Linked DNA regions of Daphnia pulex. The protein of the gene in region 1 binds, or shares a complex with, the protein of each later gene. Links are inferred from orthologs where the notes say so. Each region holds a gene or a part of one and is shown in the gene's direction. Other genes may lie near its edges.

What was found.
Region 2: CCR4-NOT transcription complex subunit 1-like (region 1) and CCR4-NOT transcription complex subunit 7-like share a complex: the UniProt entries of both Caenorhabditis elegans proteins name them as parts of the CCR4-NOT complex. The link is inferred for Daphnia pulex from reciprocal best matches to the Caenorhabditis elegans genes let-711 and ccf-1.

Annotation. Positions count from the first base shown.
Region 1 is NC_060019.1:12,271,013-12,282,590, forward strand, and holds the start of CCR4-NOT transcription complex subunit 1-like, read left to right. Parts: upstream 1-6,356; 5' UTR 6,357-6,517; intron 6,518-6,806; 5' UTR 6,807-6,941; coding exon 6,942-7,033; intron 7,034-7,089; coding exon 7,090-7,570; intron 7,571-7,626; coding exon 7,627-8,139; intron 8,140-8,202; coding exon 8,203-9,138; intron 9,139-9,208; coding exon 9,209-9,566; intron 9,567-9,642; coding exon 9,643-9,983; intron 9,984-10,053; coding exon 10,054-11,097; intron 11,098-11,165; coding exon 11,166-11,578. Other genes in the region: RNA-binding protein 12-like, read right to left, coding at 975-2,437, 2,523-3,706, 3,867-4,009. UniProt on the Caenorhabditis elegans protein: Scaffolding component of the CCR4-NOT complex which is one of the major cellular mRNA deadenylases and is linked to various cellular processes including bulk mRNA degradation, miRNA-mediated repression, translational repression during translational initiation and general transcription regulation.
Region 2 is NC_060023.1:8,134,230-8,145,199, forward strand, and holds CCR4-NOT transcription complex subunit 7-like, read left to right. Parts: upstream 1-4,630; 5' UTR 4,631-4,730; exon of another isoform or gene 4,731-4,837; 5' UTR 4,838-4,938; coding exon 4,939-4,963; intron 4,964-5,037; coding exon 5,038-5,347; intron 5,348-5,411; coding exon 5,412-5,829; coding exon of another isoform or gene 5,830-5,835; intron 5,836-5,897; coding exon 5,898-6,020; 3' UTR 6,021-6,206; downstream 6,207-10,970. Other genes in the region: serine/threonine-protein kinase DCLK1-like, read right to left, coding at 1-21, 82-311, 527-611; T-complex protein 1 subunit beta-like, read right to left, coding at 1,564-1,736, 1,803-2,006, 2,077-2,254, 2,311-2,485, 2,691-2,818, 2,873-3,176, 3,275-3,540, 3,599-3,772 and 1 more; uncharacterized protein LOC124197609, read right to left, coding at 6,220-6,387, 6,466-6,623, 6,697-6,865, 6,933-7,067, 7,131-7,277, 7,344-7,515, 7,576-7,945, 8,041-8,602 and 2 more; probable ATP-dependent RNA helicase DDX49, read right to left, coding at 9,854-10,146, 10,219-10,419, 10,477-10,631, 10,706-10,872, 10,948-10,970. UniProt on the Caenorhabditis elegans protein: Catalytic component of the CCR4-NOT complex which is one of the major cellular mRNA deadenylases and is linked to various cellular processes including bulk mRNA degradation, miRNA-mediated repression, translational repression during translational initiation and general transcription regulation.

The DNA of each region.
Region 1 (11,578 bases):
AATTTTAAGACATTTCCGCCTTATATATGCGTAGTGGTCACATGCCATGCATAAAGCACATAACGCATTGTCACGAGGGCGGTGATAAAGTTGATTATCTTTTTTGACCATAACAGAAATATTCGATAAAAAATAAATAATGAAAAATGTATCCTGTTGGTCTGAAAAGTTTTCAGATCATTATAAATCCAACCATATTGCACAATTTTGAAAACGCCGACAAAATAAATAAAAACACCTTTATTTGTTGGGTAAAACCATTTCGATAATCTACCCCATTTTTTAAATATATCGATGAGTCTGACTTTGTATGTGTCAAAGGTCTACTTTTGTTTTTCTTTAGTAAACAATGCCAATTAGGAAACTTATGTACCAGTATGTTAGACTCTCAGTTAATTACTTTTTTTGTGATGTAGATAGATTTTCGCACTGTTTTAACCGTATATATACAGTTATTATAGGATCCAATTCATCCAAAGCACATTTTTTCTTTGCTTCCCTATTTTCAACCAGATGCTTAAATGAATAAATACTTTAGCGTCAAGGAATTTTGAAATTCGGTTCTTAAGATAAGAAATGACACTGTTCTCACGGTATTCCACAGCAGCGTTAGATGCATATGGAAGAATAAGGATATTTAATTGGGCAAGTACTACCTTCTGTGTAACTTAGGGAAAGTAAAAGAAAAAAAATCCTTGTCTGCTACCGACCCCACTCTTAACTTATGGGTGGAGCAATTTTGGTTAACTTTAATTGATTTTTCACATGAATCACGGTTTGATATTCTTGTTTATCATTTAATACGTTACTACTTTAAGCGCTGTAAGTTGGATCCCTTCTCAATTAAAATTGCAACAGAAACGGCTGGAATCTGAATTGTCAATGTATTATCATGTAATGTGAACAAAGTTATGAACAGTTGAAAATTTTCCTTGACATAATTGTAACTGAAAAGAAAATTGAGACAGAATTGTTCAGATAATAGACAGATTGACCCTACGGTTCATCAAGTACTCATTTTGAAGTGTACGTACAGCTAACTCAGCTTCGTCAGGTGTAAGAAAAGCGACACGAGCATCGCCAGTAGGTTCACCGTTGGGTCCAAATCGCCGAATAACACATTTTTCATTGACTTGAAAGCCACGGAAGAAATCCAATATGTCAGCAATAATGGCTTTGTGAGGTACATTGGAGAGCGCGATGACACAGCCAGGGGCTCCGAAACCAGGAGTTGGGGATCCATCGTCACTTCCGCCTCGACCACCACCTCCATTCTGAATTGGACCTCCGGGCATTCTTATTCGCATATTAATATTAGGACGAGTGCGAGGACCAGGCCCACCGCTGCCAGAAAAATTTCCTCGGTTGCTTCCACCAGGAGGGTAACGAGGACCGCCCCCGAATCGAGGACCACCGAAACGTGGGCCCATTTGCGGATTGTATCCATTTCCTCCGTCAGCGCCCATCGGCGGCCTGTTGTACGGATCACTAGGTCCCGGATGTCCATATCCTCTTGGTCCGTGATCTGACTGGTTCATATTTGTATCAAGATATGGACTGAAACGTCTTATCTTATTCTCTTCGGCGGCAGGATGTCTGCTAACAACAGGAGCGGCATCTGGATTCTCGACTAAAGTTACGCTGACAGTATGGCCTCCCATGAAACCGCCATTCTTATCCAAGGCTCTCTCTGCCTCCTGCATACTGGCAAATTGGCAATAAGCGTTTCCGACGGGCATACGTTCTTCATCGTAGACGATTTCAATGATCTGCGGAATGACGCCAACGTCTGAGAAGAAATCGCCAATATCGCGTTCCAGGGCAGATGGAGGCAAACCCGTAATGAAGACACGTTGTGGACCGACAAAAAGACGACCTCGCTGATTCGGTGGCGCATCGTAAGAACCATTGCCGCCGCTTTGGGAACGATCAACGAAAGGGGGACCTGGTCTGTTGCTTGCAGGAGGACGATGAGGAGCAGATTGACCAGGTGAAAGTGGACTGTCAGTTTGAGTTGGAGGGGTGGTCATCACAGCGCCGACAACGCCACGGAAGCGTTCAAGATTTTTGGAGCAGACATGTAATTCCTCCAAGGGAAGAAAGGCCACCTTGACTTGACGGCCGCAGATCATGACACCGTCTTTCAGGAGTTGGATGGCTTTGCGAGCATCGGCTTCACTCCGGAGTTCAACAAAGCAAAGTCCGGTGACGGTTCCGCTCTCGTTCCGCTCTGGCAGCACCTGACCAATCGAGATCGTACCAAAAGCTTCTTTGACATTTTGTGCTGTCGCAACCGGTGGGAAGTCTCTCAATGAAAGACAAGAATTCGATAAACTCTTGGCATCAAGACTAATTCCAGGTGAGAAAGAATCAATCGCCTGGTTAAATGTCGAATCCTTAACATTGAATATTTGAACAGGATAGCCACGAATCGTACCTAAAACAAAAAAAAAAAAAAAAAAATACACAACAAATTAATTCCATTTTAATTCACGAATAAAATTGACTTAAGTTTTCTTTACCATTGTGGCGGGTAAGCGCTTTTAATTTGTCTTCATTGGAAGTGAATCGAATATACGCCAGACCGAATCGATAGCCATCCAATGCGTTGATCATTTTGATGCATGTGTTTGGGACATTAATTCCACTAAGATAATCTCTAATGTCTCGGTAAGTCAAGTCTCCAGTCAGCAAACGTAACTGAACAGAAGTATCCGGCACATTTTCATTTTGTTGATTGGCTTCCAGTTCCTCGGCCGGAGTAGGAAGAAGTCCTGATTTGCTGAGTTTCCGATCACGGTCACGATCCCGTGAGTTTCTAGCCCTCTCGCGACTATCCGAGCGACTTCGACGGCGGCGATCTCGGCCACGACCGCGACTTCCGCTACGACTGCGACTCCTCCTTCCACGTCTACTCATGTCTGAACCTCTTTCTTTGTCGCGATCTTGTCTGTCTCTTCGACTGCGCTCTTTACTTCTGTAACCAGCACGACCCATATCGCGATTCCTATCCTGGACGTCTGGGGGAGTGTCACGAGAATTGCGGCGATTCTGGTCAAAACGTTGCGGCCCTCCGTGAGCATACACATCTTGCATGTCCCCACCGGTTCCATGCAACATTTGCTGGCCACCGCCATACGGTAATAAGGGAGGCTCCTCAATAACTTCTCTCATACGCGGACCGAAATGCTGTGGAATATGAGGTCCTCCTTGCGGCAAGTGGGGAGCGTAAGTCTGTGAAGGGTTCATGTGAGGCGGGAAACCACCGGCATGAACAGGATTTTGCCCACCACCTGCCAACATGTTTTGACTTGGGTTATATGGTTGATGACTTTGTGGTTGTGGATACATTTGATGATCATAGCCCCCTGGATGGCCCTGACTAGGATCCATGTGCATATGGAAATTGCTGCCACTGGTGCTGGATGTTGCTCGTAGTCCAGGTGGTCCGCTGATAGGGGGATTGCTATGGGCGGCAGGAGCGGCACTAGGAGCAAAGGGGCCTCCTGTAAAAGGGCGCTGAACTGCTGACGTAGGAGCCATGTTGCTTCCTCCGCTAGCAGCGCCTTGCATAGCCAAGTGCTGCTGTCGTGTCTCTTCAATGATCTTTTGCATTTCCGTTCGAGAACTCAAGTACAGCTTGACTCGCGAGTCCTTCAACATACCACCGTCCGATGCCATTCCTTGTCGCGCATCCTCGTCAGTACTAAATTTAAATTGAAAGATAGACATTAATGTTTCGTTTTCAGAAAAAACAACAACACTGGTAACGCATGTGCGATCAATATTTTGAAAGCGTCGTGTTGCTTCACCGTTATACTTTATCAATGTTGGTTATTAAGATATTGGGGTCGTTGAATTGTTACCTGAATGCGATAAACGCGTCGCCTAGTTGCCCCCCGACTATATGCACGCCCCCTTCTGGTATGGATAGACCATGGAAGAATTGTCGAATATCTGCAGCGTTGGCCGACCAAGGCAAGTTCTGTAGTCGAATAATGACACTCATCTTCACTCTTGATTTCTTCTTCTTTTTCTTCGACGGTCACTTCTGAATTTAACGCCGACTCAGTTGCATGCGGCCTATTTCGTAATCAGCTATAACTGGTGCGATGCCTCTGTGTTGCCCTTTATTCGAATGGAGTGGAAGGTAAAATGATCAGTAATCACCCAGTGATAACAACATATCTCAAGATTATAACATCAAAATAAATCAATCCACTTCTTTCGACGAAATCCATTTCCAACAAAAACAAACAATGTTAGTGCGTCACGTGTGTTGTTTGTATCGAGTGCCATGATGGATTATCGCATTGACTTTCTCACCGGGACAAACGTTTCTTAAAAAAACCCTCAAAACCTCAAAATTTTTCAAAATATGGACATGGCTTGATTCAGACGCCTCTTTCCAACCCAGTTAAGCCGTGACGTCAAATGTGTCGCACACCTTCAGACTTACATCAATCGCTAATCAAGTTACATTTTGATTTCGTTTTTTTTTCTTTACTCAGAAGAACCCGCCTCACAAACAGCCTATTTGTTTTCGACGCAACTGCGATTCTTTATTCCTTCCCGGCCAAGCAAACTTTAGAAACTTGCGACGTCTCCAATGGTAGAAAAAAAAAAGAAAATTAAGGCTTTGGCTTTTTTTCAGCCAGGCAAGAAACCTAGCACACACTCTGGATTTTAATGATGCAAAATAGGAAAAAAAAAAAAAAAATCCAACAGTTCATTGGAGGAAAAAGCTGTAGATTACTGAACTTTCTAGAGAATCTCTGGTACTTTGAAAACAGGTCGACCCCATGAGCAAATAAATAAAAGTTAACACTGAAATTATCTTTGCTATATAAAAGAAAACGCTACTGCTTTGTCGAAAGCTCCCACTTCGAAAATGGTTTGTACACTGCAGCTCGCATTTCTTTTCTTTAACCTCAACAAAATCCTCTGAAAATTGAAGGGTAACCCAACATACACAACATACAATATAGGAAAAACTGCATGAGGGGGTTCCAGAGTAGGTTCCTTTGAACAGGTTCAGATTTAAAAAATGAAGCATGATGTCATGTCATGGGATTTTAAGAACTGAGATTCCAGCACCACACATCATGTTTCAAAGAAACTATACAGCTTGTGGAAACTGAGATTGAATGGACAAAGGGCAGCTTCATGCATTGAATAATCAAGAATGAAGATGACGAAGTATTAACACTAACTTTAAAAATGCATTAATTCTAAGTTGGTACTGTGTTCCGTTGACACTTGCACAACATTTCACTTCTTGAATCACATCCTATTTGTCTGTTTATCGCAGACTACAAAAGCATCACCACAGCATTTTTCTCCTTCGATGTTTTGATTCTGCAGAATTCCAACCCATGCCTTTAGAAGAATTTCATGATTAAGTTCTTCTTCGACAATAGCCTCTTTCAAAATACACACATGGCTGCAGTGACATGTTTTGAGCATTGTCAAATGTTCCAATCAGTCTATGTTCCAATGAAGAACACATGTAGCCAATAACACCCCTGTTTGTAGCAACTAATCGAATAAAAAAAAAACCGTTTTCGAACTTAGTATGAGCCTCGTCGCAAAAGAAATGGAAGTGACCTGTTTTGTTTGTGGTAGTAATTTAACCTTACCAAAATTCAGTCTAATTTTCCTGAAATCCTTGCGAATTTAGAGTTTAAAATAACCCTTCTTGAACGCAAAAAATTAGAATTGTTGCTGTTGTAAACAGCCCTGACGATGGTTTTCTTGAAGACAGTAGAGCCCTAGTAGTTAATAAATTTTTTCAGTTGGAACGGCGGGAGATTTTGGAGGGCTGCGATGAAGGAAGCCAAGCTTTAATATGGCGCAGTTTAGTTTTCTTTTTTGTTCACAATAAGTCAGGCTTGGTGTTTGTACTCGTAAACTTTTTGGTGACCACACTGGAAAACCTTTCCGGACGCCATCTATACATTACATTAAAATTTTTAAAAAGCGCTAGCTATTAAAATGAAAAATCACTGTAAATATATTATGGAATGTATTAATGTTTTCATATTTTAAATTTTATTATTGAAATATAAAAATTTCAGAAAATAAGACGTCGGTCGCAAAGAATGAGTGTATAAAGTGTACTACTGCCAGCGCATGAGTTACATTGACATTGAGTCATCCCTTCATTTTGCATAGTAGATATAATTTCTGACGGAAAAATTTATGTAAAATATATTCAAAACAAATAATGAGCCTAACAAATTCTGTATTTTATACTTACTTTATTTTTGTCAACCTTTTTTGAGTTTTTCCGAAAGAAAGCTAAAAATTCTCTTCTCTACCGCTAGAGGCGTTGACGAAATAGGCTGAATTTGTTCGGCTTCATCTTCATTCCAAATTTCTTGTGGCCAGCTGATTTTTTTGTTCAGGTTCAGGTTGATCGTGCAGCCATATTGGTTTGAATTTGTTTGATTATTTCGTTTGAACATTTCAAGCTGAAATTTATAAATCATTTTAAGAAAAAAAGTAAAAATCACTGGTATGTTGTATTTTAATTAAATCCGAATTTCCCCATTTCAATCGGCCAATGTTAACTTGTCCAATCGCAATGACCTCTTGAACAATTTCTTTGTTTAGGCAAGAAGCCAAAGCTTGATCGTGCGGTAAACAATGGCCATTTACCAAATAATAGACAAAGTTTTTAGTTTAAGTTTTTAATGTTATTGTCAATTCCTGTTATTATTTTTATGATACTCTTGATGTCAAAATATTTCAACATGTATCTTTAGTCAATCAATGAGTTTCTTCCAACATTTTTTTCTTTTCAGGTTTCGACAGTTGCTGACCTAAAGTGTTTCGTGAGTGGTTGCTAATGTCAGTGTCGGCCACAGAGGGAAGCTTCAAAGGCCATTTTCCTGGGCTTTGAAGCTTTCACCTGCCAGCCCTCTGTCTTTCATGGAACTATGAGCCTAGACTCACTGTCACTGGCGCTGACACAGATCCAATACCTGGTCAACAGCCTCAACAAAAAGAACTATCTTCAATCTAGAAATAGGTTAGAAAATTCAATTTTATTGAAAAACATCATGTTAATTTTGATATTTATTAAAGCATTGAAGAATTAGTTACCATTTATGGTATTGAAGCTGAAAGACATCTTCTTTGTTGCTGTCTTGCTGGAGTTGACTTTGTGGGGTTAGGAAACGGTGAAAGTTCATCATCTGTCAAGTCAAATAACCCAGGCAAGGAGAAGGAAAGAGAGCAGCTTCTGGCTGATTTTTTTGGACATTGCATCACCCAGCCAGCATTCCCTAGTCTTCTGAATAGTGCCCTTGAACAGCCATTGAGAAGCAACTTTACTAGAAGTGTTCAACAACAATTCAAAAGCAATTCGGCAGTTATCAGCAATTTCTGTCGGTTTTTGCGACTGTCACGAAGCCAAGAGGTGGTTCTTAGGATTGCTCTTTTAGAAACATTCAACCCTGAAGCGCGTTCACAGTCTATACTAATTATTCGCCAGAAACTTAGTGAACTATTGAAAAATTTTGCTGATCAAGATAGGAATACTGCCCCGTTGGAAGGAGGACTACAGGTAAAGCGTAAGCAAGTTTAATGTGTTCGTGTATAATTTCTAATGTATTTGTATAGGAATCGTCTCCTGAAGTCATTCACTACATTCTTAGTCGATTGATCAACGAGCCGGATACATTTGGAATAAGCAAAGACCTTTTAGAGGACGTATTGAGCTGCTTGCGCCGTGACTATCCTCGTGAATTGGTCCCTGTGATTTTAGCCCCAATCCTTTACAAGGAGCAAGGGGTAGACTACACTTGTCATAAGATGGCACACGAAACTAACAGTTTGACCAAGAATATGGTCGAAACATCATTGGCCGATTTGATCCTTGAAACTGGATACCCATTCACATCAAGTCTCGAAGAATGCCGTGCAAATATCACGACCTTCGGTTTTCGCGAATTGTCTCCCACATCGGTAGCTCGTGCAATAATCTACATGGTTCGCACGCACAGCGGATTGGACGAACATTCATTAAGACACTTGAGAAATGGTACATCACAATCATGGCCTGAGCAAGAAAGCTCAGGAGATAAAAGCGACGAAGGCCTTCCTACCTCATGGAACATGGAAATATTTGTCCAGGTAGTGGAAATGTTTGTTACTTCTTTATTTTGTATGTTCTTATCCAAAATTGCTCATTTTCAGGTTGTTACGGAGCTGGTGCCAAGTTTAAACTGGAAAGAAATTGTTTCAGAATTGGACCACCCTAGTTTCCTCATAAGAGATAGAGCAGGATTGCGCCTTCTCCTGACGGCCCTACAATTGGGCCTGCAAACACAGGGCGCAACTTTCCCAGCCGAGTTGCTGTATCAATCATGGAACAACGCTGAAGCTCAGCTATCGCTGCTTTCGCAATTAATGAGGAATACGGATCTCTTTTGCATTGCCGACTATCCACACCACGCCATTAATGTCGAAATTCTGAAATCACCCCCTGAACCTGATAACAAGAAGCTTGCCAGTTGGAAATGCCTGGGATTGCTTGAAACTCTTCTCAACTTATTGGAAAACGGCGGGCTTTACAGCCAGGTGCAAGAATTGCTTAAGGAGCCTGTTCAACACTGTCCCGATGTTTTAGTCCTTGGGCTTCTTCAGCTGACACAACCAATGACTAAACTCAGACAAGAATTGCTCAGCAGTCTTATTCCTGTTTTTTTGGGCAATCATCCAAACTCTGCCATCATTCTACACCATGTCTGGCATGCACAGTCACCTCTGGTCAAACCTCTGGTTATGCACGCTATGGCTGAGTGGTACATGAGAGCTGAACACGATCAAGCGCGGTTATCAAGAATTCTCGATGTAGCCCAGGACCTAAAGGCTCTATCTATGCTACTAAATGTGCAGCGCTTCCCTTTTGTCATCGATCTCTCGTGTCTAGCATCGCGCCGTGAATATCTCAAACTCGACAAATGGCTGACAGACAAAATGCGTGAACATGGGGAAACCTTCGTTGCAGCATGCGTTAACTTTCTACACCAGAGATGTCCTCAAATCTCCGGGAAAGTTAAAGAAGAAGCTGGTCTAAAGCCCACTCAACTTCCCTCGGACACACTAGCAATCATGTTGTCCTGCCTGCAGGTATGTTTCTTTGTTGTAAATCAGATTTTTTAAATTGATCAAACTAAAATTCTATTTGCATCTTCATAAGGTTTGGACTGGAAATGTGTCTCAAGAACTATCTGATACTATAAATACAATGGTTGCGAATTGCAACGTCCTGAATCGTGCCCGAGCGCAACCCCCACCTGGCGTCTTGAAACCTATCCGTCCTGGCAGTGGAGTTGGAGTTGACGTTTCATTTCCACCAGGAACCTTAAGCAGCCAACTATTTCCGCCTCCTGGAGTTGACTCAACTGGTCTTTCGCCCAGCCTTAGTAGCATGGGCTTAGGTCCACCAACTTCATCTGGATTTGCTGTTAATATTGGGTCCAATACACTCGGAGGAAATACTCCAGCCCCCGGATCGCCTGGAAAATTGTTCTCTAGCATGTCTTTGCTAGAAACTGGTAATGAATTACACCATTCGAAATCGACTCATCCAATTCTTATAACTAATATTTATTTACTTGTTTTGCTTTTCAGGAGTCAATCAGCCAACGGTTGTGGGGATGCCAAACAATTCCAACTCGAGTCAGAACCAAAGTACTTTCTCCATTTTTTCTTCATTAACTGGAACTGGAGCAATGCCTGGATCATCCAGTACAAATCCACTGGGCATAGGTATTCCATCTTCTATGGCGAGTGGAAGCGGGAACGGTCAATCAAGTATGGGTACGAGCAATATTGGATCTGGTACGGCTGGTTCTCCTGGATCGATTGTCAATGGCCCTGTTCGAGTAGGAATGAATCCTCACCTAGGCCAAGAACGAAGAACCGGCGATGTATCTAGTGCTTTTGCTGACATGCCACAAGCTGTTTCAAAAGTAAGCTAATATTTTTTTTATTTTTATTTTCCCCACACCTAATGGACGCATTCGTGTTTGTGTAACAAAGGATATCGAAGACGAGACAAATAGTTATTTCCAGCGGATTTACAACCAATCGCCTTCAACGCCTACCTTGACAGTCGATGAAGTTCTTGAACTTTTGAAGAAGTTTCAACATTCGACTAACCGCCGTGAACGGGAGATATTTGACTGCATGTTGAGGAATCTATTCGAAGAGTATCGTTTCTTCCCTCAGTATCCAGATCGCGAGCTGCACATAACGGCTCAGTTGTTTGGTGGAATCATGGAGCATGGTCTCGTCACCTACATGGCTCTGGGAGTGGCACTACGTTACGTACTTGAAGCTGTCCGGAAACCACACGGGACGAAGATGTACTATTTTGGGATCACTGCCTTAGATCGGTTCAGACATAGATTGAAGGAATATCCGCAATATTGTCAACATTTGGCCAGCATTCCGCATTTTCGGGAGTTCCCGCCGCATCTAATCGAGTATATCGATAATGGCTCCCGTGGCGTCGAGCCACCCAATCGTCCTCATGGTCCAGTCTTACCTCAAGTGACGACAGCTGCCAAAACCACTACTCCGACTACGCCAACTACAACGGTTGCTGGTAAAACGACCTCTACTGCTGCACCTATGAGTGGTCGACCGTCAATAGCAAACGCGACCAACATCGACACATTGCTGGTTGCTTCGGAGAAAGACGTCTTAATTGTAGACCCACCAGAGAGCGTCCAAGACAAAGTCAGCTTCATATTTAATAATCTGAGTCAATTAAACCTGACGCAAAAGTGCGAAGAATTGCGTGACATTGTGGGTGAAGAACATTGGTCTTGGGTAGCCCAGTATCTGGTGATGAAAAGAGCTTCAATTGAACCAAATTTTCACACACTCTATTCAAACTTCCTTGACACACTGAAGCTATCCGAGCTCAGTCGACTTGTCATTGGTGAGACGTTCCGCAATATCAAGGTACTCCTTCGTAGTGACAAGGGAATAGCAAATTTCTCAGATCGCACACTGTTGAAAAATCTTGGTCATTGGCTTGGACTTTTGATGCTATCTAAAAACCGGCCGATTCTACAGGTAATTCATTATTTTATTTTTAAATTGTGTACCAATTTTGCTAAACTGCAACTTCATTTAATATTCAGGGAGATATTGATTTAAAATCAATTCTAGTCGAAGCGTATCACAAAGGGCAACAAGAACTTCTGTACGTCGTACCATTCGTGGCGAAAGTCTTAGAGTCATGTGCTAAGAGCAAAGTGTTCAAACCACCCAATCCATGGACCCTAGGAATCATGAATGTTTTGGCAGAACTACATCAGGAGCCTGACTTGAAACTTAATCTTAAATTTGAAGTCGAAGTTCTTTGCAAAACTCTAGCCATTGATATTCACGATCTTAAGCCGGGAGTAGTCTTCAAGGATCACAATCGTCTGTCACGTTTGGAACCGCAGTTGTCCCAGCCGCAATTACAGCAAATGTATCAACCAGCACCACAATTGCAAATCATTCAGCAGCAGCAGCAGCAACTTCAACAGCAGCAGCAGCAACAACAACA
Region 2 (10,970 bases), on another chromosome or scaffold:
TTCCATTGACTCATTAGAAAACTGCATAAATGTTTCATTAGTCAGATAAGCATAGCAAAATATTTTTAAAAGTTTAATCACCTGGTCTTCCTTCAGTGGAGGATTTCCAACTGAAGAGCTTCGAATTTCTTTAAGTGAGACAGGTTTCCCAAGTGAAAGCCTGTGCTTACTATTAGCAGGTCTTTGTTGAGCTGATGAAGGTCTAGGAGGTAGCTGGATTTTGGGAATCATGGACTTTGGACGATTTCTTGGTAGGTGTGCTGGACTATTTCCTGGACTGGTCTTTGTAGAGCAATCTGATGGTACAGAACCTGAAAGTTACGAAACAAAAAAGCATGAGTAAGAATAATGTATACTGGCAAATCAGCACTACATGTTATGAGAAAATCAACCAAAGAATCATGTCGTCAGAGAGGACTGGCCTAAAAAAAGTAACAACCACACAATGATTTAAGTTTTCTAAAAATTGGCCAACTTTTTTCTCAACCACGACTATCAAAATTAAAGAAGCTGAACAATTTATTACCTTCAGCAGAGCAAGAACCTGAGGAAGAAAATGAGCTCTCGACTGAAGGTGGGGGTAGCAATGACTTCACTTTTGTTGCAGACATAGTTCACTAGGCACAGATAGGTTTCCCACACTAATGAGTCAAATTTCCCACACATTCAGTGTCGAATGCAATGGCAACATATTATTTTACACGGGAGCAAATCACACCATAAACAAAAACAATAGCCTTTCAACATTTATGTAAACGGATTCCACTAAAGTTCGGTTTAATCACTATTTCATCGTATGCTTATTACGATGAAGTTTTGTAACACAGTTACGTCAAATGTACGGCGGCAACTACCAACAGTTGAAATTGAAGTGCACAATAGGAGGAAGTCCTTCAGGCAAAACGGACTTTTCAGAACGGAAGGCAATCAGCACCCTTCATGCCTCTCTGCCATCTTAAGACTAAATAAAAGTGCTCGCTGCTCAGTTGCCAAACAAACAAAGGAGAGTCGTCCCAAGGGAAACGAAAATTTTCTTTTTCCGTATTCGACGGCCTCGCCGGTAGGGCGAGTTGCCGAAAGGGAGTTTTTGGGTTTGAGTAAGTGAACTATAAAATGATAGTCTGAAAGCAATTTGTATTCCTTCTTCTGTGTAAACGAAAAATAAGTAGCTGTTGCTTTTAGATAAAAATTTCGGCTCGAAAAAGAAACTGGAAAAATGGCTTCACGGGCGAGAAAGCTTGACACACCAAGCTCTAATGAGATTGTGCTCACGTTTCCATTTTTAAGTCGTACGGAAATACCATAGCTTTCTAAAGAGAAGCCTTTTAGTATATTAGAGCTGGATTAACTAACAGAGCAGAAACTAATATAAAAAAGAAGAACAAGAATTAACTTCTTTTACTAAGCAATTGTTCAGTGTATCAGCTGTAGTAGATTATAGGACCAGTACAGAAGGACGAAGCAAAAGAGTGGGCTCGAGCAAAAAGAGCGGACCACTTAAGGGGGGAAAAAACTGGATGCGAGTTCAAGTTAGGACGTAAGCTGTGCATCGACAGTGCAACTTTAACAATGACTCCTGTCTTGTTCACGACGGCGAGGTGCTGCCTTAATGATGTCATCAACGCGAAGAATCATTTCAGCCGCTTCAGCTGCTGATACAAGCACCTGGCGCTTGACAACGAACGATTCAGTCACGCCCAACTGCTGCATACAGTCGATCTTGCCGAGATCCATATCTATTTACAATCAATGAACACATTTTAGAATTGCATGTGCAACATGAAGATTTTCTGACGACATACTTAGACCAAAGGTGGCTTTCCCTTCTGAATGTGCTGCTCGGAGCTCTGACACAAGTTGGGCTGAGTCATAGCCCGCATTGTCGGCAATCACGACGGGTAGCTGGAGAAGAGCGCGGGCGAAAGCCTCCATAGCCATCGATTCTTTACCCGGAGTCTTGGCAGCCAAAGCATATACTGCCATGGCCATGAGTACTTCGCTGCAACCTTGGGATTTTGAAATAAAATGGTAAAATCCCAGGTGCACGACGGATAACATGGAATACAAAAATAGTACCTCCACCGTAGACGGTGCGTGTTTCCTTAACAGTCGAAGCTAAAACACACAGAGCATCGTGAATTGAACGTTCAGCTTCATCAAGAATCTGTTGGGTTGCACCACGCAACACAAGTGTGCAAGCTTCACCCAATGGAACGCCAGAGAATCGCAACAATTTGTCTTCACCAATCATGACCTAAAAAACAAATTACGTGAGTTCTTCTTTCTACCAGAAAGTGAAAGTTGCTCAACCTCTTCGATAAGATCACAGCGTCCAAGTTTGACAAGTTCGGGATGGCCAAAAGTAGAGACGATTTCACCTCCAGTTACCAACGCAAGGCGCTCGATACCATCAAAGTCGGCGTGTTCCACAGCCATAACACCGGCATCAGCGAACAGTTGTTCTGGGTAGTTGTAGATCAATTGTCTATAAAATCACACAAATAAAAAATTTTTGATTTAAAAATCAACCATAAATTATAAAATTTACTACAGAAATTCTAGAATACATGGATAATAAATAAGCTAACTGACAGAATCTCAAATATTTCATAAACAAACAAAAGAATTTCTGAAGCCATATAAGATAGCAAATTTCAAATTAATGAAAGAATTATGAAAGAATGACAAACCTGTTGATAAAGACGGTGCAATTGTGCTTAAGAATGAGCTCAATCTTCTCCTTCATCTTTTCTTTCTCAGCCAACTCTAATTCTGCAACTTTAGCAACGGAATCAACGCGGATACGTGAGCCGAAAACCTAAAAATATGGATTAAGTTCAAATTCTTTGATAGTCATCGAAGTTTAAATTACTTTGATTTTATCTGTGTCCATGGGTGTATTGGCAATAAGGATACGGGCATTTTCAACCCTCTTTGGTTGGTTGACTCCCGGTTTCTTGTCAAGCAGAAACCCAGTGTCGAGGAAGGAATCTGTGAGGGTACCTCCTTGCTTTTTGATGATTTGAATAGCTTGAAGGTTACCTGATCCTTTCAAACGTAAAACTGCGTCGACAGAGATCTTGGCAAAGAACTCTTTGTGCTGAGAAAGAATTTTTGAGCTCAAAGTCGTTCGAGCAATGTTCATTAAATCCTCGCGAAATTTAGCTTCATCTTTCCTATAAATGAAACGAGATTTTAAAAAAAATCAATACATTGATCAAATACATGTTGTGTTGGTCTTTTGTGCAAAATGAAACTATTATGTCTATCTTACCCATTATCAATAGCTGCATTAGTAAGAGCCTCTTTGGCAGCCTGAGAGGCCTTACGCCATCCAGCAATGATGGTTTGAGGGTGGAACTTCATTTCAACAAGCTTATCAGCTTCACGCAAAAGCTCTGAGGCCAGGACAGTCACTGAAGTTGTGCCATCCCCAACTTCAGCATCCTGGGTCTTTGACATGTCTACAAGGACTTTAGCTGCAGGATTATCAACTCCAACTGCTTTCAAAATGGTGGCACCATCATTTGTTACTTCAACCTAACAAAGGAATTTAATGACTAAGTAAAATCAAGCACAAGAAAAATCTTAAACCTACTTGTCCTTCATTGCGGCCAACACCAACAAGAATTTTGTCCATGCCCTTAGGACCAAGAGTGCTTTTCACCAGCTCACCAATGGCAATGGCACCAACAAAACAGGACAAGCGAGCAATTTCAGCCTTCTCTTCTTCACCCTCATGTTTCAAGATTCTGGTTGGGTTGAGTGAGACCTAAAAAATACATAAAGTTATAAAAGATTACATGATCATTTGGTTCCATTTACTCAGAAAGAAAAAATTCAGTATGAGCAAATTTACATATCAACCATGTGACTTTCTGTCAAATGACAGTACGCCATTAAAACATAAAAGAGAGAAAAAAACCGACTTTTCACAATTGATTATTGAAAAGTGAATTGCGACTTTGATACAGACAAGTAAATAAACGAGAAATGACGAATATCGTACCATTTTTAGATAGCCGGCTGAAGTGATTCGGTTCTGACTTGCAAAATTACGTTCAACCACAAGCACGAGGACTTCTCTCTGTGGCAGAAAGAAGAAAGGTGTAGCTGGAAACCGTTTAGACGAACCTGATCCTTTGCCGCTGGACGTCGCCTCGGAGTCACACTAAAACGCGGAACGTACATGCAAAAGATTCAACTTGAACATCATATAGGCCCTACCTGCGTGCGATATCTGCAAAAATATTAAGTTTGGCATTACTTCCGCCAGATTATTAGATTGGAACCAACGATCGAATTTGGAAGTACGGTTTGAAGTTAGTCTCCAATTAATTTGTTTACAACCTATTTTAGAGTTCTTACTCTGAGCAAGTTAGCATCTTACAAAGGCAAGTATTTTTGGTTTACGTACTCCTTGAAAAACATAATTACTTGTGAGTATTGAATAATGTCAATATGTCCTTTTGTTAATCGATTTGTCTTGCGTTTTCAACATTTGTAATGAACGAAAACTCCCGCTCCGCAGTTCAATTTGACGTTTTAGGGTTGTCGTTCACTCGTTCCATATTTTTTCCGTATTTTGTTTCGCGCTTTATTTATTAAGGGGCTATCGCCGCATTTCGTTTGTCAGCTGTTTTTTTCTGTCAAACAATCTATCGCTATTTTCGAAGATGGCACCACTGTATATATATAGAGGCTGTTGTAAAACTCGGAAAACATTTCAGGTGAAGTTCCCACTGAGTCGATGTGTCAAATATCATTTTAAATTTAACCTAGTGGTGTTAATATCGAATTAATTGTAGGGTTCTTTTATCAATTTATTGTTTTGAAGGCTCGAGTGATGTGCTGCTGGATATGCTAGTTTATACGAATTTGATTCTTTGTGTAATCTAGTGTGATCACTGGGTTTCTGAAACTTCACTATCCATAGCCATGCCAACTTCAACTGGTATAAATCGTAACTAGCTTTATTTATTTCATTAAATCAACTTTCTAGGACAATGATTTTTACACTTTTACTTTTTTAAATAGGAAATATGCATCCTAGTAATGAAGAGTGTGGGATTCGGGAAGTCTGGGCTCACAATTTGGAAGACGAATTTAGACATATACGCCAGATTGTACAAGCATACAATTATGTAGCCATGGATACTGAGTTCCCAGGAGTAGTTGCCCGTCCCATCGGTGAATTTCGCAGCCCTGCTGATTACCAATACCAGCTTTTAAAGTGTAATGTAGATCTTCTGAAAATCATACAACTGGGCTTGAGTTTCCTGAACAAAGACGGCAAAACACCTTCTGGGTACACTACCTGGCAATTCAATTTCAAGTTTAATCTTGGGTAAGGTTTCTAAACCAAATTATTTCTCATCTGAAGACTATAAATCTTAATCTTTGTTTAATAGGGAAGATATGTATGCACAGGACAGTATAGAACTGCTCCAGAACTCTGGTCTCCAATTCAAAAAACATGAAGAAGAAGGCATAGACCCATTAGATTTTGCTGAGCTGATGATGACTTCTGGGATTGTTTTGATGGATAACATCAAGTGGTTGTCATTCCACAGTGGATATGACTTTGGCTATATGTTGAAAATGTTGACTAACCACCACCTACCTCAGGAGGAGAGTGAGTTCTTTGAGCTCCTGAGGATTTACTTTCCTACCATCTATGATGTCAAGTATCTCATGAAGAGTTGCAAAAACCTAAAAGGTGGTTTGCAAGAAGTAGCCGACCAACTAGAACTTGAGAGAATCGGTCCCCAACATCAGGCTGGTTCAGATTCCTTACTAACAGGAATGGCATTCTTCAAAATGAGAGAGGTATAATGGCATTAATTTTTTTCAATTCATTACGGTTAATTAACTTTCATTTTTACGCTTCGTTCTAGTTGTTCTTTGAGGATAACATTGACGATGCCAAATACTGCGGTCACCTTTACGGATTAGGCAATTCTTTTGTGGTCAACGGTAACAGCTTCCACGACAATGGCGATGCCACTAATTCGTCTTAAGCGATATCTCACAAACACACTTCATTAGTTTTTTTAATTTTTAAACCGAGAAACCATTCTTTGCGCGGAATGATTCTACTATTCAGAGCAGAATTATTCAAACACACAAAATTGTAATGAAGATATCTCTGTATTTCAGACGTTGCAAAAAAGGTTCCACCAATACAGACCTGTGTATTTCTATTACTAAAATTGTTCATTATTTGTTATCCTCGAAGAGTTTGTTCTTGCCTGAAGACAAATCATAGATAAATTCTTGAATTTTCTCTAGCTTAGTGAGTTTCTTCTTGGTCTCTTGACACGATTTCTCAGATTCGATAAGTCGAGCCTCCAAATCTTCACGCACCATTTCGGATTTTTTGATTGCCTAGAAAGCACATGGAAATTTTCAATTAAATAACCCCGATAGTCCGATCCCGATATCTTCTTTAGTTGAACATTTTACCTGATTCATAGAGATGATTTCTCTATCCTTTTCTTCATTTTCTTTCTCTTTCTTACGAAGCGACTTTACAAGGTTATCACTGTTAGTCTTGATCTCTTGGAACTCATTTGACAGTTTGTCTAAATCTTTCGATTTTTTCTCGTATGCCAGCTTTGCAGCTACAAATTAAAGATAAAAATAATTGGCATTAATCTCTATAGAAAAAAATTCTATGCACATCTATGTTATTACCTTCCAAGGATTTTTGCGATTTCTTAAGTTCTTCTTCCATATCTTCACCTTTCTGAACAAGATTTCTAATTTGTTTCAAGGCCCCATCGAGCTGGGATTGGATCTGATTCGTTTTTTCAGTCTGCGCCACTTCAAATTTATCCTTTTCCCTTTGCAATCTCTCACGCTCCTAATGAATACATTCAAAGGTTTGTTGGTTAATTTTTTTTCCTGCTTAAATGTGTGTGTAGGTTTACTCTTGTCCAGTCATGCTGATTGGCTCGTTGCGTATCGGTCATTTTTTCAAGACGCCTCGAAATAGCTCGGTTCTCCGACTCTTTGCTTTCAATGAGTTGAGTTTTGCTGAGGAGCATAGCCATTATCCGTTCATTCTAAAATGTAAAACAAAAATAATAAAACGAGGGAAGATGTCATATTTTGAAATCCTGATTTACCTCAGCTCCAATTTGAATGATATTTATTTTTAATGAATCGACTTCTTGTTTATACGAATCCAGCTGGTGTAGCAATCGAAGTTCTTCCCGCTCTCGTCGTGCAATTTGTAACTCCATCAATTCAACCACGTCGCAATTTTTCATCGTCTGAATTCATAATTTTTTTTTTAGATATCATACAAGCATGTACCAAACTTAAGCAGATTTTATTACCTCCCAAAATTTGTCGTGTTTCATGTCTTGTGTGATTTTGTCCAGTTTCTTTATTTGTTCAGGAGACATGGTCACGTTCAAAATTGAACGGTTTACCAATGGATCCTTCTCATCGGTAACGCTGCCACGTCGGGAGTACAACTGATCCATAGCATACGACAGACCAGCTAAGCTGTTAAAATATCGTTAAAATCATTTCAATAATAGAACTGTTGTCTCAAATTAAATTTACCTTTCGCGATTAAACCCTACTGTACCAATAAGAGCTAAAGCGTCTTGTTTGAGGTGACAGTCACCAAGTACGATTGCAGATGCTAGGCACTGTTGCACATTAGGTTTTGTCAGCAAATCACTGTAAATTGGTAGTTGGTCTCTTTCTCGGAAAGCAATATCTCCGAACAGTGTAAGACACTGGACAACAATGATTCTAGATTCTGGAGAATAACGTGAAACAACGGCAGGATTGGGGATGAGGGTCAAGTCGGAGTTCTTCTGGTCCACTTCTTCGCCGAAATCCGTAAAAACGGAAACGATTTTGACAAAGGTTTCCGGTTTGAGCATCGATGCAACCCGGATGTTGGAAGGTTGAACTTTGTAAAGCTGTGCAAAATTGAATCAACAAGTTAAGGAAATAATGTTCAGTATTACAATTATGTGTAAATAATCTTAATATGTATAAAATTTTTGAAAAGGATATTTTTTAGAATCTGCAAGGCATGTCCAAGAATTTTGCAAGATGTCTTGCAGGCAGGATTCTTAAAATCGTTCAGTTGATTCACAACTAGACGATCGAGGCTTTCTTCGTTTAAGTTAAGGCTCGGTGTGATGTTTGTTAAATCAGCCAAAAGTTCAAGTAAATTTTCGTTGAGGGCGGCGTTCGTAAGAAGTGGAACGAGGGCCGGGATAAAGGCTTCGGTGAACTCCTTGTTGACAACAAGCTGAGTACGGAGTATTTTTGTTGTGTAGAACAAAATGCAGTTGGCTGCATCACTGGCATGTTGAGATGAAGTAAGCAATTTTGGAACAAGCTTGAACAAGCCTTCCAAAGAACTCTGTAGTAGCTGTTGGAAACGATTTGCTTTCAGCAGATCAAGGATTAGGCGATCACGTGTCATCCACAGTAAAATACAGCAACTTCGCTTGATCATTTTGGTGTTACTACTCTTGAAGCCGACTGTGAGTGTGTCTAGTACTGTTTTTAAGTAATTGGTCAGCATTAATTCACTGATTGAACCTATTGCCAGAGAGCTAAAGAAAACCTAAAACAAATAAACATTAAACAATCATCAATTATATCTTATTTTGAAATAATTTTACTGAAAGATTATTACCTGAGATGCATACAGTTGAAGCAAAAGGTTATCTGCTTGCAATTGGACAAGGTATTGGTGCAAGTCTTCAGAACGATTTGTCCTTTGCAATTCATTGACCACAACATAGTTTTCAAAGCATAAATTGGATAAAACAGCAAGCAGATGAGGTAGTGTGTAGTCTGATTTCTCCAAGATAGCACTAGTAAGATATTTTAAAATATTGCTAAGCCAGTACCCTGATCGGTCTACAATTATTCCATCAGTTAATGTCTCTAGCAAAGAGAGCAATAAGACAGCTTTATCAGATTCCAATTGCCCTTGAAGATAGTGGGAGAGAACTGGAACAAATTGAAATTGACAAAGAAGCTCACAAATAGAAGAATTTGAACTCAAATGTTTGACCATATCTATTCCCTTCCACCCCAAATTAGATTTGTTGTCGCATGTTCTTAAAAGCTCTCTAACATTGATAAAAAATTCTGTAGTATATCCTTGGGGAGTATCAAAAAGTGTAAGGTTTTCCATAAGACACAAAACCTAAATAACAAAAATAAATGAAAATGTAATACTTTTTCCTATCCAAATCATTGAAGCAGTTACCTGAAGGCACCTTTGAATTTCGGATTCATGTCTTTCACTCTTCGATCGGATGTAATCAGGAACTAAGGTAATAAAATTTTGAATTGTACGGTTTTTCGAAGACATTTCCTAAGATTAACTGGAATAATCCTTCCAAGCTTCTCATAAATCAAATCATCCAAATTTTTAGGCAAATATTTAGGTGACAGCGACACGACTTGGTCAGACACGGTTTTGTCTTTTCAAAAAAATTAACGTTGCCAGGTTAAAATAAAAGGATTCCATCGCTCGCACGCCGCCGCCCCTTCTGCGGGCCTGCCGCCTCGGCAATTCTGTTAAGGAGCTTGGTAAAAACGCACGGTATTTGATATTTTATCAGCCATCAGCAATCTGAATGTTTGCGGTTAATTTAGAAATGTCTACCAGAAAAAAAAAAAAAAAAAAAAAAAAAAAAAACAGGCTATTCTAAAGAAAATTAATTGATCCGACAGACATTAATCAACTCGAAAATGTCAGCATTAATAAAGTTGGATGAAAACGATGAGCCCGTTTCGTCAAATCTAAATAGCAAAAAAAAAAACGATTTGAGAATTGTATTCGTCGTTAATATTACAAGCGTTAATCCGATTCAACAAGAATATTCGTGGCAGATGAGGTTGAAGCTTCTTCTGAATCCCTTTTCCGGGAGTCTCTGCTTTTTTTAAATTTAGAATTCTTGTCCCCTTTCCTCCTTTTCCACTCGATATCAGCCTCGATTTCGCGATCGGCTTCTTCAGGACTAAGCCCTTTCTCTATCAATTTCTTCCTCTTATTGATTCTTTTCTTTTCACCAAAATCTTGCTCGTCCAAGTTGATTTCCTGCTCTCTTTTCGTTACAGCCACTTGCGTTAAGATTTTGACAACTTCTTTTTCTGTCGAGTATAAAATAAAATTTTTAAGATGTTACTTCTTCGACTTAAAAATAAATTTCAGCAAATCCATACCTTTAATCTTGAACTCTTTAAGCTCTTTACAAATGCGCCCTTCAATAGCATGGAGCAGTTTGATATCGTTGGGGGTGATTAACGTCAGTGAAAAACCTCCTCTACCGGCACGAGCAGTACGACCGACGCGATGCACGTATTCTTTGGGGTTTGAAGGAACATTGTGATTGACGATAAGCTGAACCGTGGGAATATCCAGTCCTGAAACATTCAAGAGTGTTTACAAGCTCGTGTTAAAAGAGAAGTGAAAGTATTTACCTCGGCTGGCTACGTCGGTAGCCACAAGAATTTTGACGGTATTCGAACGGAATTTTGTCAATGTAGCTATCCGTTCGCGTTGACTCATCATGGAATGTAGGCACAAACTCTGAAAGCCCAGTTCCAGTAAAGTCATGCTCAAAATTTGGCAACTCCTTTATAATCAGAGAAATAGATTGGTGTTCTATTTTAGATATCACTTGGGTTGTTAAAGAAAATGTTATATCACCTGCATGTGTCTGTAAAAACTATAATGGATCCTTTGGGTTTCTCTTCTCGGAAGTTTTGGACAACGTGAACCAGGTATCCATCCTTGAAATCCGCTGGTACGAGAATATACCTTTGATCCAGCTCTTCCACTGTCGCAGTTTCAACCGGGGCCGACCACATGAATGGCTATTAGAACATGACGCATATTTTTAGTGATGCAACGACTAACGCTCTAAGAAATATACTGAAGATTTTACTTACTTTATTTAATGCGACTTCGCGAA